Linked DNA regions of Struthio camelus. The protein of the gene in region 1 interacts with the protein of each later gene in a biochemical or structural test. Links are inferred from orthologs where the notes say so. Each region holds a gene or a part of one and is shown on either strand. Other genes may lie near its edges.

Evidence for each region.
Region 2: the proteins of protein S100-A6 (region 1) and CEP43 form a complex in vitro, tested with the Homo sapiens proteins (2 studies listed by BioGRID and IntAct, with this or other methods). The link is inferred for Struthio camelus from reciprocal best matches to the Homo sapiens genes S100A6 and CEP43.

Annotation. Positions count from the first base shown.
Region 1 is NC_090971.1:4,725,945-4,735,345, forward strand, and holds protein S100-A6, read left to right. Parts: upstream 1-5,805; 5' UTR 5,806-5,936; intron 5,937-6,057; 5' UTR 6,058-6,066; coding exon 6,067-6,204; intron 6,205-6,541; coding exon 6,542-6,685; 3' UTR 6,686-6,756; downstream 6,757-9,401. Other genes in the region: protein S100-A4-like, read left to right, coding at 1,621-1,761, 2,285-2,449; protein S100-A4-like, read left to right, coding at 4,484-4,704, 4,843-4,999, 5,142-5,306; protein S100-A12-like, read left to right, coding at 9,149-9,301. UniProt on the Homo sapiens protein: May function as calcium sensor and modulator, contributing to cellular calcium signaling.
Region 2 is NC_090944.1:88,807,892-88,819,598, forward strand, and holds the start of CEP43 (centrosomal protein 43), read left to right. Parts: upstream 1-7,065; 5' UTR 7,066-7,720; coding exon 7,721-7,810; intron 7,811-11,707. UniProt on the Homo sapiens protein: Required for anchoring microtubules to the centrosomes. Required for ciliation.

The DNA.
Region 1 (9,401 bases):
CCGCGGGGGCCGGGCTGGCGGCGCGTCCCGTCCCGTCCCGTCTGTCCCCTCCGTCCTGTCCCATCCCATCCCGTCCGTCCCGTCTATCCTGTCCCATCTATCCCGTCCCCCCTGTCCTGTCCCGTCCCGTCCCGTCCCGTCCCGTCCCGTCTGTCCCCTCCGTCCTGTCCCGTCCTGTCCGTCCCGTCCCGCCCCGTCCGTCCCATCTCCCCCGTCCCGCCCCGTCCCGCCCCCGGCGCTGGCTCGTTGCCCGACTCTCGGCCCCGGCGCCGCCCGGGGATTTTCCACTGGGAGGAGACTTGGCTCCGGGTGGGGGCGGTGGAAGGCGGGGGGGGGGGGGATGCCAGCGCCTCGGGGCCGGCCCCATCCTCCTCCTCCTCCTCCCGCTCCTCCGCGGCCCCGCAGCCGCCGCCACGCGCGAGCGCGGGTCCCACGCGAGTCCGGCAGCAGGAGCGCGCTCGGCCCCGGCCGCCGGCGCGGGCACCCAGGGGCGCAGCGGCGGCAGGGGAGAGCAGGGGGGGATGCGCCGCGCTGGGGACCGGGCGCCTGGCCCGCCGGCCCAGACCCGCTAGAGAAGTCCCGTCCCCGGCACGCTCCCCCCGTCGGACCCAGGCGTCCGGGCCAGCGCTGGGGGCCGCTTCCCGCGCCCGTTTCGCTCAAGGCCGGGCCCGTCGTTTCCCGCTCCGGGTGCCCGAACGGGCGCTGGGCGCACGCCCGCGCGCGGGGGACCCTTTGCACGGTGCCACGTGGCGGGCGGGAGAGGAACGGCGCAGGGTGCGGATGGGGCCGCCCGGCTCTGCAGCTGCTCCCAATTTCGGGAGCTCCAGCCCTCCATCCCGTCCCCGGCACCACCGCCCCCGGGCGCCCGGCGCCAGCTGCTCACCGCGCCGCGGCGTTGCAGCAGCCGCGAGGCCCCACGCGGCCCCCGACGCTCCCTGGTGCTGTCACCCCCGTGGCGGGCGCCCGGACCCCCGGACCCGGCTGCTTTACCCCGCGACGAGGGCAAACGTTTGGGGCTCGCGCCCCCTCCTTGGGAAACGAGGGCTGGGCGGGTGCAGGCGGATCCAGGACTCTGGCGTCGCCAGGACCTCCCGGCCCCTGGCACTGGGAGGAAGGGTCTGTCCCCGCACAGCCTGGCGCATCTGGGGTCGGGGGACGCCACGCGGCAGCCCCCGGCAAAACGCTGCGCTCGCCTCGCCGCCCCCCTTGCAGCGGGGTCCGCGCGCCCCGTCTCGGCGGGACTGCAGCTGCCGGTGGGGGGCTGACCCAAACGCCACCGCCGCCCGCTAACCGCATCACACGGCCCGATGGGCAAAAACCAGGCGTGGGCGAAACCGCCGGCGCGGAGGCGCTGGGAAAGCCCGGGGGCTGCGCGGGGCAGCGCCGCCCCGGCCCGGGTATAAAGGTCGGTGCACGGCGGCAGCGACACCCCGGCTCCTTGCAGACCCCCGCCAGCGGCACTGACCCCGGTGAGTCGTCGACCCCCCCCCCCCCCCCCGCCGCGGTTTGCACCCCTGCGGCGATTGCACCCAGCCGGGCCCCGAAACGCCTCTCCGGCACCGCCGACCCCTTTCGGGGGGTCTGAGCGCGGCGGCCCGGCTCTGCCCGCAGGAGCTGGCCATGGCGTGTTCCCTGGAGCAGGCGCTGACCGCCCTGGTCTGCACCTTCCACAAGTACTCCGGCAGGGAAGGCGACAAGTACAAGCTCAACAAGGCCGAGCTCAAGGAGCTGCTGAACAAGGAGCTGCCGGTCTTCGGGAGCGTAAGTGGCCCCGGGGCAGGGCGCTCCCCGGCTCGTCCTGGCGGGGTGCGAAGCGGGCCGGGGGGCTGCGCACGGCCCCCGCGCAGCGCCCTGAGCCCCCGGCCCGGCCACGCACCGGCCGGGCGCCGGGAGGACCCGGGCTGGAGCAGGCTCCTCGCAGGCCCGCAAACGGCCGTAGAGATATTTTGATTGGCAAAACAGTTGCGTGCTGATTTCTGCTTTTTATCTCCCCTCCCCCCCCCGTTTTTTTTTTTTTCTTTTTGCATTTCCTCTTCTGGTTTCCAGTTTAATTCGGGAGGGAGCCGAAATCTGGCAGATTTTTTTCATGGTCGAAAACCACACGTGCTATAGAGCCGTGCCCAGGAGCAGCCAGCGCACCCCGCCTGCGTGGCCACCGCCTTCCCAAGGGGGACGGGGGCGGCGCGGGGAGCCCAGCGCTCGAGCCCCTGTTTGCACCCTCCCGTGGGAGCAGCCGGCCGAGCCCCGAACCGGCCCGCGCCCCGACCCCTCTCCTCCCTCGCAGGGGCAGATGGACGAAGGGGAGTTCAGGAGGATCATGAACGACCTGGACCACAACAAGGACAGCGAGGTGGACTTCCAGGAGTTCGCCTGCTTCATGGCCTGCATCGCCATGGGCTTCAACGAGTTCTTCAAGGATTGCCCTTCCAAGCAGCGCCGCCAGAAGTGAGCCCCGGCGCCCACCGCCCCGCGGCCCCCGGCACGGCATCGCCGCCGCCGTGCGTTCAATAAAAGCCTTTGCAAAGCCTCCGCGCGCGTCCGCAGGGGGTTTCTCGGCGGGGGCCGAGCGCGGGGTCGCTGGCGCGGAGGCGGCGCCCGCCGCTCCCTCCCGCCGGCTCGTCCCTCCCTGGGATTTTCCATGGCGCAGCTCGGCCCCGGGAGCCGGCGCACGCTTTTGGGAAAATTGGAGCAGAGCTGCTCGGAGCCGTTTCTGGGCAACGCACGCAGCCCAGCTAAACATCCCACCAGCACCAGCCCTGCGGGCGCCGCTTCACGTTTAACTCGAACCACATGAGCTTCCCCGCGCCCGGCTCGGCTCGCAGGCTAGCGCGGCCAACACGAGCGCGGGGAGCGGAGCAACACGCAGGGTCCAGGCGGGGCCTGAAGGCTGCAGCCGGCCCCCGGCAGGGAAAAGCTGCGGCTGGAGGAGACCCTTCCCCGCAGCCCCCCGGACGCGGATGAGCCCATGCCGGGGTGCTGCCGCGCGGGAGCCAGACCCGCGCTCGCCCCGGCCTCCCCCAGCCACCGCCGGGCTGCGGGCGACGGCAGTTTCCGGGCACCTCGCCCTGCGATACCGGCTGGGCAGGATGTGGCTCACCCTGCCGCAGCCTCGTCGGCTCCCTGCAGGTCCAGGCTGGCTCGCAGGGAGCGTCGCTGCTGCTGCTGCTCCTCCTCCTCCTCTCCAGCCGTGCCCAGCAGCCCCAAACCCCGGAGGAGCAGCCCTGGGGCTGGAAACGCCCTTGCAAAGCTTCTGCTCCAACGCACGGCCAAGCCGAGCGCCCTGCAAAGCATCTCCCCACACCCCCAGCAGCTCCTTCCCCAGCCCCACCAGCAGCTCCCAGCTCTTCCCTCCTCTGTCCTGCTCTTCTTAAAGGCAGCCGGGCCCCAGGCAGCCTCTCCCCCCGCCCCAGGAATTTGCACCGGCTTGCACCCGTTTCTTAACGGGGAGATGAGGGCCAGGCTTGGGGGTTCGTTTGGCCAAAAGGCTCCTTCCAGCATCCCCTCCCTGGGGGATGCTCCTGGTGGTGCCGGTCCTGGCCCCCGGCCGCGCTCCCCGGCGAAGGGCAGGGAACCCCCCGGCGGAGCTGGGGTGCCCGCAGCACCCAGCGCTGCTCCGGGAGCAGGGGAGGCCCCGGGGACCCGGCCCGCCGCTGCCTTCCCAGCGGAAACCCCTCCTGCGCCCGCCTCTCTTTTTTTCCTGTTTTTTTTTTTTCTTTTTTTTCCCCCTTGTTTTTCTGGCCCGGGTCCCCGCGGCGGCGGGCGCCCCTCTGCCGAGCGGGGGGCCTCGCGGGGAGGCGGCCAGGGCTGCGGGCCGTCCCGCGCGGCTCCCTGGCACGCGCCGAGGCCACCCGAGCGGCGCTCCGTCGTGCAAGGCGGCCGCGGGAATCCCAGCTCGCCTGCGAGCGGCTTGCGTTACAAGCAGAGGGAGGGAAGCAAAAAAACAACAAGCAAACAAACAAACAAAAAAGCAGCAAACCCCAACAGCAGCGAAGCCACCAGCGAAGGCCGGCGGGGGCCGGAGCGGGGGCCGCCCGCGCGCCTGCTCCCGCCAGCCCGCTCAGCCCCTCCGCTCGGGCGGCGATTGCCGTGGTTAAGCTCGCTGAGCCCAAGGAGGGGTAAAAGCTCGTCCGCCACCCGCCGCCGAGGGGTCGGCTTTGGCCAAGAGGCCGCTCGTGCCCCGGGGTCCCTCCTTGGCCAGGGGTCTCCCAGCCCCCAAATCTTGCTCTTTTCAACCCACAGCAGCCCCGAGGCCGGCTGGGGAGGGCAGGACCAGCCGGGAGGGCTGCGCCGGGGCGGCCGCCGCTGCTCTCGGGGGTTCCTCTCTTCTCCTGCCAGCCAATGTCTGGACGGACGCTGGAGCAGCATTGGTCCCTCTCCATCCCCATAGCGCGGGGGCGTCCCCGGCGGGGCTATAAATGCTGCGGCATCGTGCCGGCTCCGCTCCCACCCTGCGGTTTGAGCTGTTGGTGAGTTGTTTTTTCCTATGACGTCCTGGCGTCCTCCTCCCCGCCGTTCCTCTGGACGCTGCTGCTGCTGCTGCTGCTGCTGCTGCTGCTGCGCCTGGGCCGGCGGCTGGCAGCGCTCGGGGCTCGGCGGCCCGGGGGGGGCAGCTGGCTCCCCGCTGCTTCCCCCCTCTGCCTGGCTTCTCTTGGCGGCGTCCTGCCCCAAACGGAGCGGCCGGCGGGTGCATCTGGGGAGGAAACGGTGATGCATCCCCGTGCACGCCTGGGTGGTGGGTGCCTGCCCTGGAGCAGCCCCCGGGGAGGGGGACGGGACACCGCAGCCCCCGTTTGCAGGGCTTCCCGGCTCCGGCTCACCCGCTCCGGCTCTCTGTGCCCGCAGACTGGCCGGTGTCCCCATGGCGTGGCCGCTGGAGCAGGCGCTGGCCGTGATGGTCTCCACCTTCCACAAGTACTCGGGGAAGGAAGGGGACAAGTACAAGCTGAACAAGCAAGAGCTCAAGGAGCTGCTCACCAAGGAGCTGCCGAGCTTCATCAGCGTAAGCGTGGGGCGGTGGCCCGTGGTGGCCCGCGGTGGCCCGTGGTGGCCTGGGGGGCTGGCGCCATGCAGGGCTCCCCCCTGCCGGGGCGTTCGGCCCGCCGTGCAAACCGCCCGCTTGTCCCCATCTCTCCCCTCGGCAGAAACAAACGGATGAGGCCGGCTTCCAGAAGCTCATGAGCAACCTGGACAGCAACAAGGACAGCGAGGTGGATTTCCAGGAGTACGCGACCTTCCTGGCCTGCGTGGCCATGATGTGCAACGACTTCTTCCAGGGCTGCCCGGACAAGATGCCGCGGAGGAAGTGAGCCGGGCGGCGGGCCGGGGCCGCGGTCGCCCCCGTCACCCCTGCACCACCGTAGGAGGAATTTAAAGAATTCCTCCTATTCTTTAAATAAAGGCTGCTTTCAACGAAGCCCTCTGCGAGCGGGTTTTTTGCCGGGGGGACGTGGGCTGGGATCCCACCGCGCCGGGCAAGGCCCTGTCCACCTGCAGTTTGCGGAGGCAGGTGGTGCCGGACGGCGCCGCTTCGGAGCCGGAGCGTGGGCACCCCGCTCGCCCCGCGTGCCGGCGGGGGTCAGCGGCAGACCCCGCCGGCCGCCCTCGGGCATCGCCCGCATCCGCTCCCTTTCCCACCCTGCGGCTGCGCAGGGCTCGGCGGGGACTTTGCCCCGGGATGGATGCCTCCCGACGGGCTGGGAACGGGGATAACGGGGACGGGGAGCAGCTCTTCCGGCCCGCATCCCCGGTGACTCGGCTGGCCCGGGCCCGAGGGGGCGGGCGGGGGGGCCGCGACGTGCCCCCCCCCCCCCCGGCTCTCGGTGCGCAGGGGAGGGGCTGCCCCGGCCCCCGCCGCCCTGGGAGGAGCCGGCGCCCGGCTATAAAAGCGGGGAGGAGGCGGCGCCGCCGCTGCTCTTCCTGCCGTCCCGCCGCCGTCGGTGAGTGTCCCCTGCCCCTGCCCCTGCCGCCGCGCGGGGGAGGGGGGGCGCCGCGCGTGGGAGGCCGCGGCGTGGGTCGCGCGTGGGCCGCCCCCGCTGAGCGCCCGGCCGGCCCCCGCAGCCGCCAGCCATGGCCGCCCCCCTGGACCAGGCCATCGGGCTCCTCGTGGCCATTTTCCACAAGTACTCGGGCAAGGAGGGCGACAAGACCACGCTGAGCAAGGGCGAGCTCAAGGAGCTCATCCAGAAGGAGCTGACCATCGGGCCGGTGAGTGGTGGCGGGGCGCCGCCGGGGGCCCCCCGGCTCCTGCCCGACGGGGCCCCCCGAGACGGAGCGGCAAAACCGGCGTGGGCAGGGGACGGCCGTGCCAAGAGGTGCCCCGTCACCTGGGGCACCCGGCGCTTGGCGAGGCGGCCGAGGAGCCGGGGGTCCCGTCGAGGGGTCCCGCGGCATCTCCCGGCCCCGCAGCCCGCCTGCCTGCGGCCCCGGCTCCGGCGCCTGGCAGCGATGCCCGAGCCCCCGGCCCGCGCCCCCGGGGCGGCCGGCCTTCGGGGCGGCCCCCTCCCCATCCGCTGACGGCTCCCTGCTCTGCTCCGCGCCGCAGAAGCTGCAGGAGGCCGAGGTCGCCGGGCTCATGGAGGACCTGGACCGCAACAAGGACCAGGAAGTGAATTTCCAGGAGTACGTCACCTTCCTGGGAGCCCTGGCCATGATCTACAACGAGGCGCTGCTGCAGTACAAGCAGTAGAGCCGGGCCCCCCGGGGCTCCCCCCGCCTCCGGCGCCCAATAAAATTCCTTTTTGTAAAGTTCTGCTATGAGTTTGGTGTCGTTTTGGAGTCTTTAATAAAAAAAAAAAAAACATGAGATTTTAAGTTTTTTTTTTTTTTCCCCGTCCCCTCTGGGTGGTGTTGCCCGCAGGGAGGCCCTGGGCGGGGGGACGAGGGCAGCCGGAGAGCCCGGGAGGAGGGGGCAGCTCGGGGGAGGGGGCACGGGGTGGGCAGAGCTGCAGCCGGGGCTCGTGTCCCGCAGGGCCGGACCCGTCCGCGGGCTGGCGGTGCCCTGCCCGTTCCCCGGGGCAGGATGCCGTTCCCAATTTGGGTGGGGTGGGGAGGACATCGCTCTCTGGAGAGAGGTCCCGAGCATGAGCGCAGGGTGTCAGAGGGCCGGGGCGGTTGGTGGAGGGCTCGGGGTGGATTTGCAGCTAGAAAATCGGGAATAATGTGGATTTTTCCCAGCCGGGAAAACAGCTCTTTGCGTGTCCTCTCTGCTCAAACGCAGGGTGCAGAGGCTGCTTCGGAAACGCGTGGGGTCACCCCAGCGTCCCCACTGGCATCAGGAAGCAAAAACCTCTCCAGCCTCCCCCAGGCTCAGGGAGCCCCCCCGACTACCCCCCTGCAGCCCCCCTGCATCCTGCATGAGGGGGATCCCCCCCCCCCCGATGCCTTTTACATCCTGGCTCTTTTTGTGCCTGATCTGGGATTTTGGCACACCAGAGGCTGGCATGACTGCAGGGCGATAGTGCCTCTTCCATGGGTATCCCAGCCTGCCTGTACGGATCTGCCCCCTGCCTTGTCCTCGGGGCTGCGCCGGTGCAAACACCAGCACCCCGTGCAAACTCCAGCACTGCATGAAAATGCCAGCACCCCGTGCAAACACCAGCACCCCGTGCAAATGCCAGCGCCCCGTGCAAACGCCAGTGCCCCGTGCAAATGGCAGCGCCCCATGAAAATGCCAGTGCCCCGTGCAAACACCAGCACCTCGTGCAAACGCCAGCACCCCGTGTAAATGCCAGCGCCCCATGGAAACGCCAGCGCCCTGTGCAAACACCAACGCCCCATGCAAATGCCAGCACCCCGCGGCGGCTCGTGCCCCGAGGCCAGAGCAGCAGCTGGGGTTGCCGCGGCCGGGAGCAGGACCTGTGCCAGGAGCTCCCGGCGCGCCCAGGCGCGTTGCGTGCGCGGCGCGTCCAACGGCAGGTGGCAGCACGGTGACCGGTGGCGCCCGCGTGTCCCTTCACACCTCCGAAGCTGGCACACGCACGTCCCGCATGTACCGCCCGGCTCCTTCCCACCCCTTCCAGGACGAGGCTTCCCGGCGTCCCGCTGAGGACGGGGCAGGCGCCACGGCGGAGGTGACAGAGCCTGCAACGTCACAGCAAAATGCACACAGTACCGCCAGGGATGGAGCGCTTGCCTCCGAGGGGCTTGCAGGGCTCGAGCATGCGGGCGGCACAGCCTTGGCATGAGCCCCCCCCCCTTCCCAAATTCAGCACCCGCGATCCTGTTGGGGTGGCGGGAGCCGGAGGCCGGGAGCCCCGCGGCGCCTCGGGCGAGCCGTGCCGGCCCCGGCGCCGGGGAACGTGGCGGGAGCTGGAAGCAGCTGCCCGTGCCCTCGGTTTTCAGCAGATAGCAGCAGCCGATGCTGGGAAACGACGCTCTGAAGCGCGCCCGGCCGATTCCCGGCACGCAGACCTGTCTGGATTTGTAGCATCTTTCTTGGCTCCGCAGCGGAGCTGTTGAGAAACCGTTTCTGTGGGGTGCGGGTTTGTGACTTGGGGGAGCCGAGCAGCAGGACGGGACCCGTCACCCCGCCGGCACCCAGACCGCGGGCCAGGGATGCAGCTCATGACTCTTCCTCATGCAAAAAGACTTTTCCCCATGGGAAAAATCAGTGCCCTCCCCCTTGACTCGCTGGAGCCCCCCGGCCGGCGCGTTTCGCCTGTCCCCATCTGCCCCAAAGGCCTCGGACCGCGCAGGAAGGCTCTGCCCCCCGTGCGGCCCTGCGGCACCCGCTCCCACAAACCTCTTTTTTTTTTTTTTTTGCCTTTCTTTGCAATGCCCTAACGAACTGGGTGCATCCCGCGGAGCCTCCCTTGCTAACCCCCGCCCCGGGAAAAGCCGCTTCCAGGAGCCCGGCTGGGCGTGCTGCGTGCCGCGCCGCCTTGCACAATTCCTGGGGTCATCGCCCCTGAGGAAAGCCGAGGGTGTTACAGAGCGCAGCTCGCGCAGCGTATAAAAGGCACCTCGCCTGCGCCGGCATCCACCCCACCTCGCCTGCCTGCCGCCCTTGGAGCGCCGCCGTCTCCCCAAGCCGCCGCCGGACCGCTCCCGGGTAAGTAGGTCCTCCCGGCCGGGCTGGCCCAGCACGGGGGTCCGGCTCCTCCGGCCCCGCCGACGGCTTTGCCGCCCGCTCTTCCTCAGGCTCAACGAGATGAAGACCGACCTGGAGCTCGCCTTGGAGTGCGCCATCAACATCTACCACCAGTACGCCATCAAGAAGCCCCTGGACGACTACCTGGACAAGGGGGAGTTCAGGGCGCTGCTGGTGGAAAACGCCAAGCCCTTCCTCACCAACACCAAGCCGGTAAGAGGGGGGGCTCGGGGGGCCGGGGCCTCCTGGGGGCATTGGGGAGGCTGAGAGCCGCCCAAGGGCGAGGCGCGTTTCCAGGTTTTTCCTGAAACCG
Region 2 (11,707 bases), on another chromosome or scaffold:
GAGGAACAAAGAACCCAAAGGAATGAATCACAAATATCCCACACAAGACTGTTCAGATACTTTCTCAGTACTGTAGTAAAACAGAAAACAGATTCCAGCACCTGTTTCTCTGTTGAGGCATGACTCATAAATACTGAGTGCGATTATTAATTACTATTGTATAGTTTTGAACTATGAGGGATATGTCAAAACCATCCTCCATTAATGCACTTGTGACATATGTGGGCAGATCTGCTTCCACAAGCAAAACAACATTTGTTTTTGACAAATTAACTACAGTTCTTATCATAAAGTCTTTTTTCAAAGTTACATTATTATTCACAGGTGAGATTTTTCAGTTATGTTTACACATTTACACAGTAAGGAGGAAGATAAAGCAAAACTAATCTCTTTGCCCACCTTTCTATGGAAACAGGCCAAGGTTGAATGGAACAAGGGATCCATATGGTTTAGTGTTGTCTCTGACAATGTCTGAGAGGTACCAGAAGTTTCAGAATATCTTTGTCAAAGAGTTAAAAATAGTGAAGTTCTCCAGAGCTGTGCAGTCATCACTCCTCCTCTTGTTGCTGAGGGCATCACCGCTCCATCTGGCACTGAAGTCTTTGCTGCTGCCCGTGAGGAGTCAGTGGACACGAGCACCGAATTATTCTTACTGCCTCAGAAGTTATCGTTGCAGGCTAAGGATGAAGAGTGGGCTGTACCACATGTACAATATAGCTTGCAAGATTTTTTGCTTCGTTGTTATACCTGTTCTGAGGAGCAATAGGGATTTACACTCTGAGGCTGCCGAATTCACACGTCTCTTCACTTTGCGAAAAATAAACCCAGAGATAAGTTTCCCATTACGGTTGTTTGAAAGAGAGATCCAAAGCTGGCATGAAATCATGTAGCCTATTAAGTTATTAAGACAATTAAGTCAGGACTTTTATGTCATGATATCATTACAAAATAGTGCATGTTAACAGAAACTATTACAGAGCTAATATTTTGATGAAAATGAGAAGAGAACGGAGAGCTACTTTGAATCTATCTCCTTAAGACTTTCAATTTAATATTTATTTATATACTGGTAGCAAGGAGAAAATCGTTAACAAATCAAAAAATTTAAATCAAACATTATATCAGATCCAAATGCTGACAACTATAATGAGGAGGAAAGACAAGTTATACTTTTACTGTTTTCGGCCTTTTTTGTGTTAAGACATAAGACGACTATTACTCAGTAATGTGAACAACTGTTGTGGCAACCTGTTTAAAAGACAAAAAAACATCAGACAGTTTTCTCAAATAATCATTTACGAGATAAAAATTGTCCATCTTTCATCAATAGTTGGCAATTACTCAGAAAGGCTATCTCAATACATCTGAGAACATCATGGAATGTTAACAAGCATGTAGAAATATCCAGGTTTATGAACTGGTGCCAAGACTTCATTTCATACCTGCTGCCTGAAATGTAATATTTCTACTAGGTTCTGACACTTGAATGTAGTAAGAGAGAAATTTGGGGGCTTTAGTCTGTGTGAGCAGTACTGTATGCCACTGGTAGCCCCCACCGACTTCATAAGAGACTATTCATTATCATTAAGGCAGAAAGAATTTACAGCACAAGTAAGAAATTAAGTAGACTGAATGATAATCATAAATATTTACATAGAAGCTATGAAAGCTATTGGGACTTTTGACTGTTCCTAAAGTCTATATCCTCACTGTGATATAAGATCTACCTTAACTGCTCACCCGATTAATAGACTGGCAGTCCAATTTCCAGCTCAGTATCTGACAAATATTTGTATCCCACACTATGGGGCCCTTGCTCCACAGTTATACGCACTAATCCTAGGACACAAGCACACACTAACAAGCTTAGAATATCTTCAACTGCTCTTCTGAATTGGGATAAAATTAAGAAGTAGCGAAGTGCTCTCCTGAACTAGAGCCTTAATCACCAACTGATTTAAACTGCATTTTTAGTACTCTATATAATATTCCTAAGAACAAGTTGGACTCCAAAATTTGAGAATCATTGTAATGAAAAATAACTGACCTCATTTGGGTAATTTCTCATTGTAAATAGCATGGTCTGTTATGTCTGTATTGACTTTTCTCTCCTGTTCACTGTTTATTAACACTCATGATGACATGATTATATTTGGTGGAAAATTGAGGGAGAGAATGCCAAAACAGTGGAAAAGTTTCATTTCCATTTTTCCTGAAAATATCATTTTCCTCAAAAATTTCTGAACAAACGTAACTGTATCTGAGATTTTAAAACTCTGTTTATCTGCTGAAATGTGTTGCCTGAAGAAAATAAAACAAAAATGAAGTTGGCATGGTTCAATTTCTTTAAGGATTTTATTATCAAGCACTTCAATCTGAGATTTTAAAACTCTGTTTTTCTAGAAACCAGCAGTGTACATTTAGATTAGGATTTAAGAGTCCAGAATCTTTCTTATTTTGTTCCCCTAACACAATGATTTTTGTTTTGATTATTCCCATTGCACAAATAGAACTCACAAATCTAGCTAGATTTTATTCAGTTTTTGTGTGTTAATGACAATCATCTGCAAAACTCTGATCAGATTCTAGGATGTACATATATTACTGTGTCCTAACTTTCAGTCAATAGAATTGGTCAATGCATGTTTTTTGAAGGCCTGGATTGGATTTATATTGTGTAAAGAGCTTGTAGCAACGCTGCCATTGCATTTTTTTTTGAATGATGCAGTGTCAATTTTATAGCATCTTTGCAAAGCTATATTGGTTTTCCCATGAAAAATACATCTTCTTCTTACTCTGGTAGAATGTTCTTCACATTTACAGTTCTGCAGAAACAATAAAAATAATGTTGGTCTGTCTCTTGTGATGCAGTTAGATGATGTCAGTAAAGGTAGACTTGGGAATTAGATATATTTTAAATGATAACGTTTTCTTTAGAATGGGACACGAGGCAGTTTGAGACTGTTCATTGTCGGCTGGGTAGGAAATTGGACTATTAGCATGCTTCGCTGCCCTCTAGGTGATGAATATTTAGCTAAATAATTTTCTGGTATTTGGCAGTGCTCAAAAGGGGTATATGGAGATTGGATTTGAAATAGTCTAGATACACTGGAGAGCAGGAAGCCAGTGTTATTGCAATGAATTTTACAAACCACAATTCTTTTCGCTGATGAATCATCTTCTAAGTCTACTGAATCTGTCTTTTTGCTTTGCAATCCCTATCAAATATTTTGTCAAGTGGATTTTGTAAGGACAGTCAAACATAATGTCAATACCTATGTCATATTCATATTCTGAAAGCTGGTGTTTTCTGAAACATTTACTTGGAGAGAAAGATTTATATCTGACAAACGTATAGTACACAGCATAGACCTGAAGCCAGATTCCACACTACGGTTTGCCAGCTTAAACAAACAGTTTCTTGTAATTTGGGACAAGGTATATTTGTGGAAATAATTTGCCATAAAATATAAAAGTCTAAATTTAAAGTATTGTTTTTGAAATTGATAATCTAGAATAGTAATCACTATTAATCACTATCAATAGTAATCACTAACAGTGATTTGCCTATAAACCTCCATTTTTTGACATACTATCTAGCAATGTTCATTACTAAATAAATCGTATAATTGCATTTAATTGGAAAATAGCTCTTTATTTCTGCATCTGTGTGATAATAATATGTCTTCCTTTATTTTGCTATACGAGTTACTGGGACAAGCCCTTTATGGAAAACACCAATGAGCAATTATACCTGTGAAACACACATTTTCTCTTTACATATAATATATTGGGGCAATACAAGTACTTTAGTTCCATGACATTTGTTGGGCATGCAGTATCTATATGTGATGGTATCACAAGTGATTTCCAATAACATTTACACCATAAATGCTGCCGTTTTATGTATGTTCCTCACATCTCACAAAAACTATTTAATGAGTATTAGAAGAATGTTGTAAACCTTTATTTAATCTTATAATTTATGACCCTGCCTTTAAATACATGTCATTAAATTATTATAAGTCCCAGTGTGTGTTTCTAAGAGGAAAGTATACAAATCTGTAAAGAGGATTCTGGATAAAATTGGAGCTGGAAATCCAGAGAACAGTTGTAAATGGTATGCTCAGTGAACTAAAGAATGAAGGGAAAAAGGGGATAAGGTAGCAGTTGAAGGTATGAACGCATCTTTTTGAGATAGGAAAGACAGTCAGTTTTGGTTCTAAGGCAAAGAGGAGGAGACAATTAGAGTTTAAGAGGAAACAAGAAAACCTGAGAGCACATGAGGGAAATCAGAAGAGGAAGAATCATTGGGGCAAACAGAATAGGAGGAGACAGGGAAAGAAATGTCTCCATTTCCACTGAAGAGAAAAGGCTGAAGAAGAAAAAAGGAAGGTAAAACCTAGGAAAAAATATTTGATTTATTAAAAAGTGTTTTTAAAAGGAAAAAAGGAAGGGAAAGTCGGGGACTGTAAGCAAGCCTTCTTCCCTGCTCTTCAGCTTTCCCCTGTGAGTTTGAGGGCAGGGAAGGGGAAGAATTTTCATCAAGAAATTGCCAAATCAGTGGTGGAGGAAAAGGCAGTGGATGGTCTGAGTGACTGAGTCTGAAGAAATTGGGGAGTGTTGGAGATGTGATACGAAACACTACCCTCACACATCCATTCCTACCTGGCAGGGAAGATAGCCCTCCAGAGCATCAGGTTTTACTTTTGACTTGCTGGAACTGAAACAGGTGCTGTTGTGGCCCCATCTCCAGAAGCATGGTGGTACCAAAGGAGTCCCCACTCATACCACCCTCGCTGTGGTAACATGAGAGTGGATTCGGTTAAGGTACAGCAGAGTGATTTTGCTAGCTAGATATCAGAAATAAAGGCCAAGCAGTGAGACGTGTGGGGAAGCAGATTGATGTGCGATATGGAGAAAGCCCAAATGCTTGTATCAGAAAAAAGGGGTCAGTAAAGAAACATTGGAGACAGTATTTGTTGCTGAAGAACAAATTGAGAAAACATTCCTTTTGTGCCTGATCTAAACCACAGTTGATAAAACGAATAAATACTATCAGATAAACATATAGCTAAAAAGCTGGCTTGTCATCAAAGTAGCTGTAGTTCAAAGCTTTAGAGTTTTAAAAGATTAGGAGTACATTGTTCTTTAAGTTGATGAGAGTATATGTTTAATTTCATTTTACCCCACAGAAATCCCCAGTGCATATAGATGCATAGCTGTGTATACATGGTTAGCATTGCTAACATGGTTAGGATTGCTAACCATGTTATCCAGCCAAGTAAGTATTTTGCTAATTTTGATACCAACAACATAGTTACAATGTAGTTATACACTTTCCTATTGGTTCCTGTCCTTCCCTACTATTCACAGTTTCATATACCTTTAAACCGTTATCCTCATAATCATTTAGACCCGGACTGTCGCTCACACAAGCTGCAGAGCGGTAGGGTTTGGAGTGAAACCATGACACAGTAGTGTGGGAGGGAGAATAATCTCTGTGGGGTTCTAGTAACAACTTTCCAAAACTGCTGGAGGCATGCAAGTAAATTAACAGACCTTTGGGCCCAGTCCCTGCTGTGCCTGTCAGCTTGGAAGGGAAAGTAGTGTCTATCAACTGTAGAACCGGCACAGAATACATTCCCTCTGGATCACTGACAAAAATAGACCATTTGTGATTACTACAACAGGACCCCAATCTACTCCTATAGAGGTGCTTTTATAAGCTGGTCCATTTCAAAGCTTTTATGGCTGGTAGAAGAACATCACCCTTATTTTGCTGGTTATTTTCCAATCCCTATTCTTCCCTTCCCCTCCCTAGCCTAAAACTCATTTACCAGCTTAGACACTTAATTGTAGTGCCGATCCCTTCAATTGCTTAATATTCCCTCTATCAAGCTAGGCGTCAAGTTTCGGTGAACCAAAACCACCGTCATCATGTCTTTTGGCAGACATACGAGTAAAGCCTTATACCCTGAGACAGCGTGGCTCTTTTGATCATAGTAACATTATAGGGCTTATATGATTATTGGAAATAACAGTTTAACTTTTAACCTATAAGCCTTGTTTTAATTGAACTTGATCACGAAAACTGAAACCTAGTTATTTACCATCTTGTTTCAAGCTTAACATTGAAGTTTATAGTCTATTTTGACTCCTAAATCAATAATGATATATTCTTACTGGTGAGTTAGATATTTCTCAAACCATACAAAGAGAGTGAAAGGTTGCCAATGTTTCCAAGATTGGGAATTTTAAAATGTAATGCTATATTCTTTGTGCAGCAACAGAAATGGGCTCAAACATCCAGCATGCCTCTAGAGGATGTAATAAAAACGGGACAGTACCAGTGACACCTGACTTACCAGGCTTGACTCATATTTAAGACCTCACCGATGAATTAGTGCCACCTACTGCATGCTTTTGAAAGTAGCATCAACCGCCAACAATACCCTTACTATATTCCTCTACGAGGAACGCTTGCATGCTTTGAATATTGCAGAACCACAGAATGGCCAAGGTTGGAAGGGACCTCTGGAGATCATCTAGTCCAACCCCCCCCTGCTCAAGCAGGGTCCTCTAGAGCACGTTGCACAGGATCGCGTCCAGGTGCGTTTTGAATATCTCCAGGGAAGGAGACGCCACAATATTCATGAATTACGAATTTTCTCGCTATATAATTGAATGCTCTTCAAGAAAAATCGTAGAAAGTTCAGAAGATAAGGTTCAGTATGAAAAAAAAAAAAAGCAAAAGATTTTCCCGGGGGCAACGTACAGTGCTGCAAATTAAGCACTGCATCCTAGAAAGCGTTGTATCATTTTTAAGAAATGATAGCGTTGGAGCCTCTTGTTCCTAAGACGCTGCCTGGCGCTTTTAACATAACATAGAGGTTATAAAATAAACACTGTTGACATATTTTAAATACTTTTCGGTCTCTGCTTTGCTTGTGCTGAATGGAGGGGATACGTCTACTTTCCGAGATCTCTCTCAGCCCAGAGAAAATTGCTCCTTCCCCCACCCCTCCCAGAGGACGGGAACAGCGTTTTCCTCTCTGCTGAAACACCTGAGAAGGGGCAGGAGAGGGGTTCTTCGCTCCTTAAAGCGGTTTCAGGTTCTTCGTCGTCGTCCCCCAACCCCTTTCTTTCGGCGCTGGAAAGAGCCGAGTGCGAGAGAAGACCGGCCCTAGGTGACCTCGCTTCCCCACACCCCCTCCCCGCGGCCGTTACAGCCCGCGCGGCCGTTGGGCGCGAGCGCGGCCCGGCGCGAGTCCCGCGCACGCTGCCAAGGTCTGCCCGGCCAGGGGAAAGCACCAAGCTGGAAAGGGGCCCAGGGAATGGTTACAGGGACCCAGCAAGTAGCGCGGCCACCAGCTCTGCCGCCGCGGTGACGTTGAAGACGAACAAAGGCGTAGCTCGGCCGTTAGCGCCCATCACCCGCTTTAAACCTCCCGCCCGCCAATCGCGGCGCCGGCAGTCGCGCTGCTGATTCGCCGCTACACTTTCCAGGCGCCGCGGTTTGGGGGGGGGGAGGGGGTGTTGGGTGGTCGCGGCCTCGTTGTGTCCCCTTTCGGGCCGCTACTGAGGACGGCCACCGGCCGGCTGCGCCCCGTTTCCTCGGGTCCGCTGCTGGGTTAGTGCCTCCCTCGGCCGCGGAGGCGAATCTGCCGGGCTCGTCCTACCGCTAGCGCAGTTTGGGCGGTTGTCAGGGAGAAACAAGATGGCGGCCGCAGCGGCGGAGGAGGACACAGAGCTGCGGGACCTGCTGGTGCAGACGCTGGAGAGCAGCGGGGTGCTCAATAAAATTAAGGTGGGGGAAGGAGAGCCTCGCGTTGGCGCGCGCACCTCGCGAAGCGCAGAGCGGGGAAGAGCCCTGGCTGGCGCCAGCGGCAGTTAACGACCGCGCACGGGGGGAGGGGCCGGGCCGGGGCTCCGTCCCCTCTCCCTGGCGCGTCTTAGCCGGTGTTCCCGGCCGGGCCCTGTGCCGGCGCCGTGGCCTGGCGGGGGCGTCTGCCGCTCCCCGGCTGCTCTGCCTAGGGCTCGGCGAGGAGCCGGGTCCAGCGCCTGTCTTGCGAAGTGGAGCTGGTACGTGCTCGCCGCGGGCCCGGGCGGGAGGCCTGACCGCGGCTTGACGTCTGCCTGGCGGCCGCAGCGTTAACGAAAGCGCCGAGGTGGGGAGAGGGAGGGCAGCCCGCGGCCGCCGCAGGGATCCCGGCGTCTTGAGTGGGCGCTTTCGGGCCCGCAGACACGCTGTGGTCGCAAGAGCTCTATTGTTGCTTCTCTCCTGCTGCTGCTAAAGCCGCTGCAAACGTTCAGCGGCCGGGTCGTGTTGGATGGTGTGGACAAGGTTTCTCTCTGATTCGACCGAAAAATCGCCATTGAAAATTTAAAGCAGGAATCGTTGAGGGTTGCTGCTTATACACGGCATCTTTTGAGTTCGGGTGAGCTTAAGCTGCGTCTTGAAGGCCTAATAAACAAGGGAAGTGCCGAGGGATGCTGCTAGCTGCACGGCACAAATACTGCTATGTTAAGAAGTTATGCGGAGGACAGTGTTTAGTGGGGTGTAAGGTTTTCTCCATTGTAATTGCTTCCATGTCTGTAATGTAGCCTGGGCTGACATCCTGTCAGCAAGGATATGAAAACTGGTTCTAAGGGTTCTTCTTCAAGTTAGAAGCTTCCAGCAATAACTATTGTGCATAGCAAAGAGCCATACAGTTATCACAGCATATGAGCTGTTGGACCATCTTCTAAGCCAGGAGAGAAATGAAGTTTGAGTTTCAAATCACAGATGGTGATATTTTTTCCCTGCAAAGTACTACAAGTATTTCCAGAGGTAGATGATCACTGACACTTCAGGATCAGTTTAATGACTGAAACAATTGATGGAATTAAGAGTATCTGTGTGTGTATACAAAGAAAATAAAAAGTCACTTCCTTTAAAGTCCATTGGATATTTGGCTTCCAATGGATTCCATAGTGTTCAATAACACGGTGTTACTGAAATTGTTGCTCCTGCAGTTTTGGAAGAGTAGTCCTTATTTAAATTTCATAAGTAGATGAAGATCCCAGTTCATGTAACTATGTTTTGAGTAGGGAAAGCTTTTTCTAGATAAGTATCAAATAGGCCTTTTGGACCACCCATTAACCTCTTGTGTCATATTAACTAAAAAAAATAGTGAAAATAATAGCAACAATTAAAAAAAACCACAAGTCCGTTAGGTCGTTTGGAGTATATAAACTGTAGTTTCTTAATTCCAGTCTTTGTGTAGTATACAAGTTATTGTACTGCACTTGCCAGTTTGCTGAGTTTCATGTAAATATGTTTATTGTAATCTTCGCTATGCTATAATGCTAAAGTTGTAGTATCCAGTATGGCTCAATTTATCCTTAACGCAAAATAGCAAACAACTTAGAAAAATGCAGACTGCATCCTATTTACCAGTATATTGCTCTTCTTAATACTGGGAGTTATTGCCTTGTAAGTGGTATGCTTATGGCTAAGGCCATGCATTCTGCAAATTAATAGGATTTCTTCTTAGTTGTAAATCTTAACTGCCACACTAGTTTGGCTATCTGTTGATTGTTAGTATGAGTAACTCATGGAATTTGTTTTGTTTGGCACTTGAAAATAGTCCTTTGTCTTCCAGAAGAGTCCAGAGTAAACTGGTCTCCTTAAAAGGTTGGCTTCTAATTTAAATTAGATTATACCATGCATAAAAAATGGACATCGTGCTTTCATTAAATTAAACATATTTGTGCTCAGTACTGTTTCCTTAACTATTGCAAATGTGTCAGTATATTTTATTATGTGGGAGAACTGTGAGAAAATGAACAATTGCTTTGCTACTATGTAAATTGTATACACCAAAATGAGCACTGCTCATCTTCCAAGATGGGTGAGGCTAGAAAGTAAATTATAGCGATGTGTCTGAGACTTGTTAGAATAGACACATTAGAAAACAAATTATATTGCTGAAAGTATGGCTTCATTGGTGTGAAGAAAACTCTGGTAAAACAAGTAAAGAAAGCTCTGGAAGGATTAGAATTAGAATGTACAAGGCTGTCAAAATTTACATATGGGAACATATAACAATTACTTTATCAGTCATTATAAAAGAAGAGAACTTTGGTGACACCTTTGTCCTTCAGTATACAACATGATTGTACAATGGGTTACAGTTTTAGGTTTTTTTTTTTGAGGTTAATTTCTTGGGCATATTGGTTTTGATGTAAATTGTTTAGCTGGAAAATAGTAATAATAAAAAATCTTAGTTACCTTGTAGACAAGTCCCAAACAGATTTTTAAACTGTCATACTTACCTTGGGCTTTGAGCACAGGAGAGTTTAATAAAGTAATACATTTACACAACTTCCAGTTTTCACAATGTTTGCCGCGTCTAGTTGAAACATTTCCTATTTTTAGAGTGCAGATCAGACTGCTTCCTTTTGAATATCATAAGAATGCTCATCTAAAATATAATTCTATATATTTGTACTTCATTGAAAACTTTTACTGATACTGCACGTGTGATGCATTCCGTACAATTACAGAAGACGTTCTCTCTTGAAGAGCATGTGAGCCTTCTCTGGCCTAGGGAAGCTGTCATCATCTGAACAAGAAGAGTGATTCTTCTTATTGTCTTCCTTTGTCGTCTTATTTTGTGTTTTGCTTTGTATCTTTTAATCTCTTTTCTCCTGGAAAAATAAGTTTATGCTACCTTAGTTTTATGGCATCGCTGGAACTTGCTGTTACTACAAATACGGGGGAAATCAAACATTACAAAAATTGTATGACTGATAATGCTTCTGGCCAGATGATACTGTTCTTGCTAATTTGATTCAAAATCTAAAAAGTTGAGGTACTTGCAAAAAACGTGTTGAGGGTAAGAGACAAGAGTTAAAATGAAATATTGTTTGTTTAAAATCATCTATTAACTGTATTTTTGTAGGTAAATTAAAATTGTTAGATTTATTTTCTCATGTCCCTTCCATGTATTATAATGCATAATGCTTTTAAATGTCTTTGAATTATTAACCATCATGATCAGTATACTGTATACTACAGTGTAATCTCTTGCGGTTTTGCAGCTGGTTTTTTAAAAGCAGTTTGTTTCCGAAAGCCAACTCATTTATTGGAATCAAGGGGGAAATTTAAATTTATACTTAACACTTCTTTCTATAATTTCTTATTTTTATAAATAACAACTTATATTGATTTCCGTTTAACGGAAATTCAACATTTAAATGTGAGTATGGTGGTCTTGCTGTTTTGGATGTATCCTACCTTTAAGAACATGAGTGAGAATTGCTTGCGAGATGCAAAGTAAGAGCATGATAAACTGCAGTAATAGCTGCAGGTATGTAGAACTTATGTATTTTAGATATTTACTACTTCTCCCTGATATGAATTTTCCTCTTTCTTTTCCCAGCGTTTTCTTTTCCATTATACAGCCTGACAGCTTAACTTATTGAGTCAATTAGGGCTGCTTAAACTAAGTTGAAGGATTTTGCCCTGAAGGGGACAAAGAATAGTCGCATCAACTACTGACTATACTCAAAGATAAGAGAACATCACAAACTGTAAAGGTGAGGAGTGACAGAAAAGGTACTGAGTAACATCATTAGTGAAGTTGCTGTTTCCGGGTTGGTGCCAGCTTTGGATTTGTGATGCCTCCAGACTGGTGAGAAAAGGTCCAGGTTTAGGTTG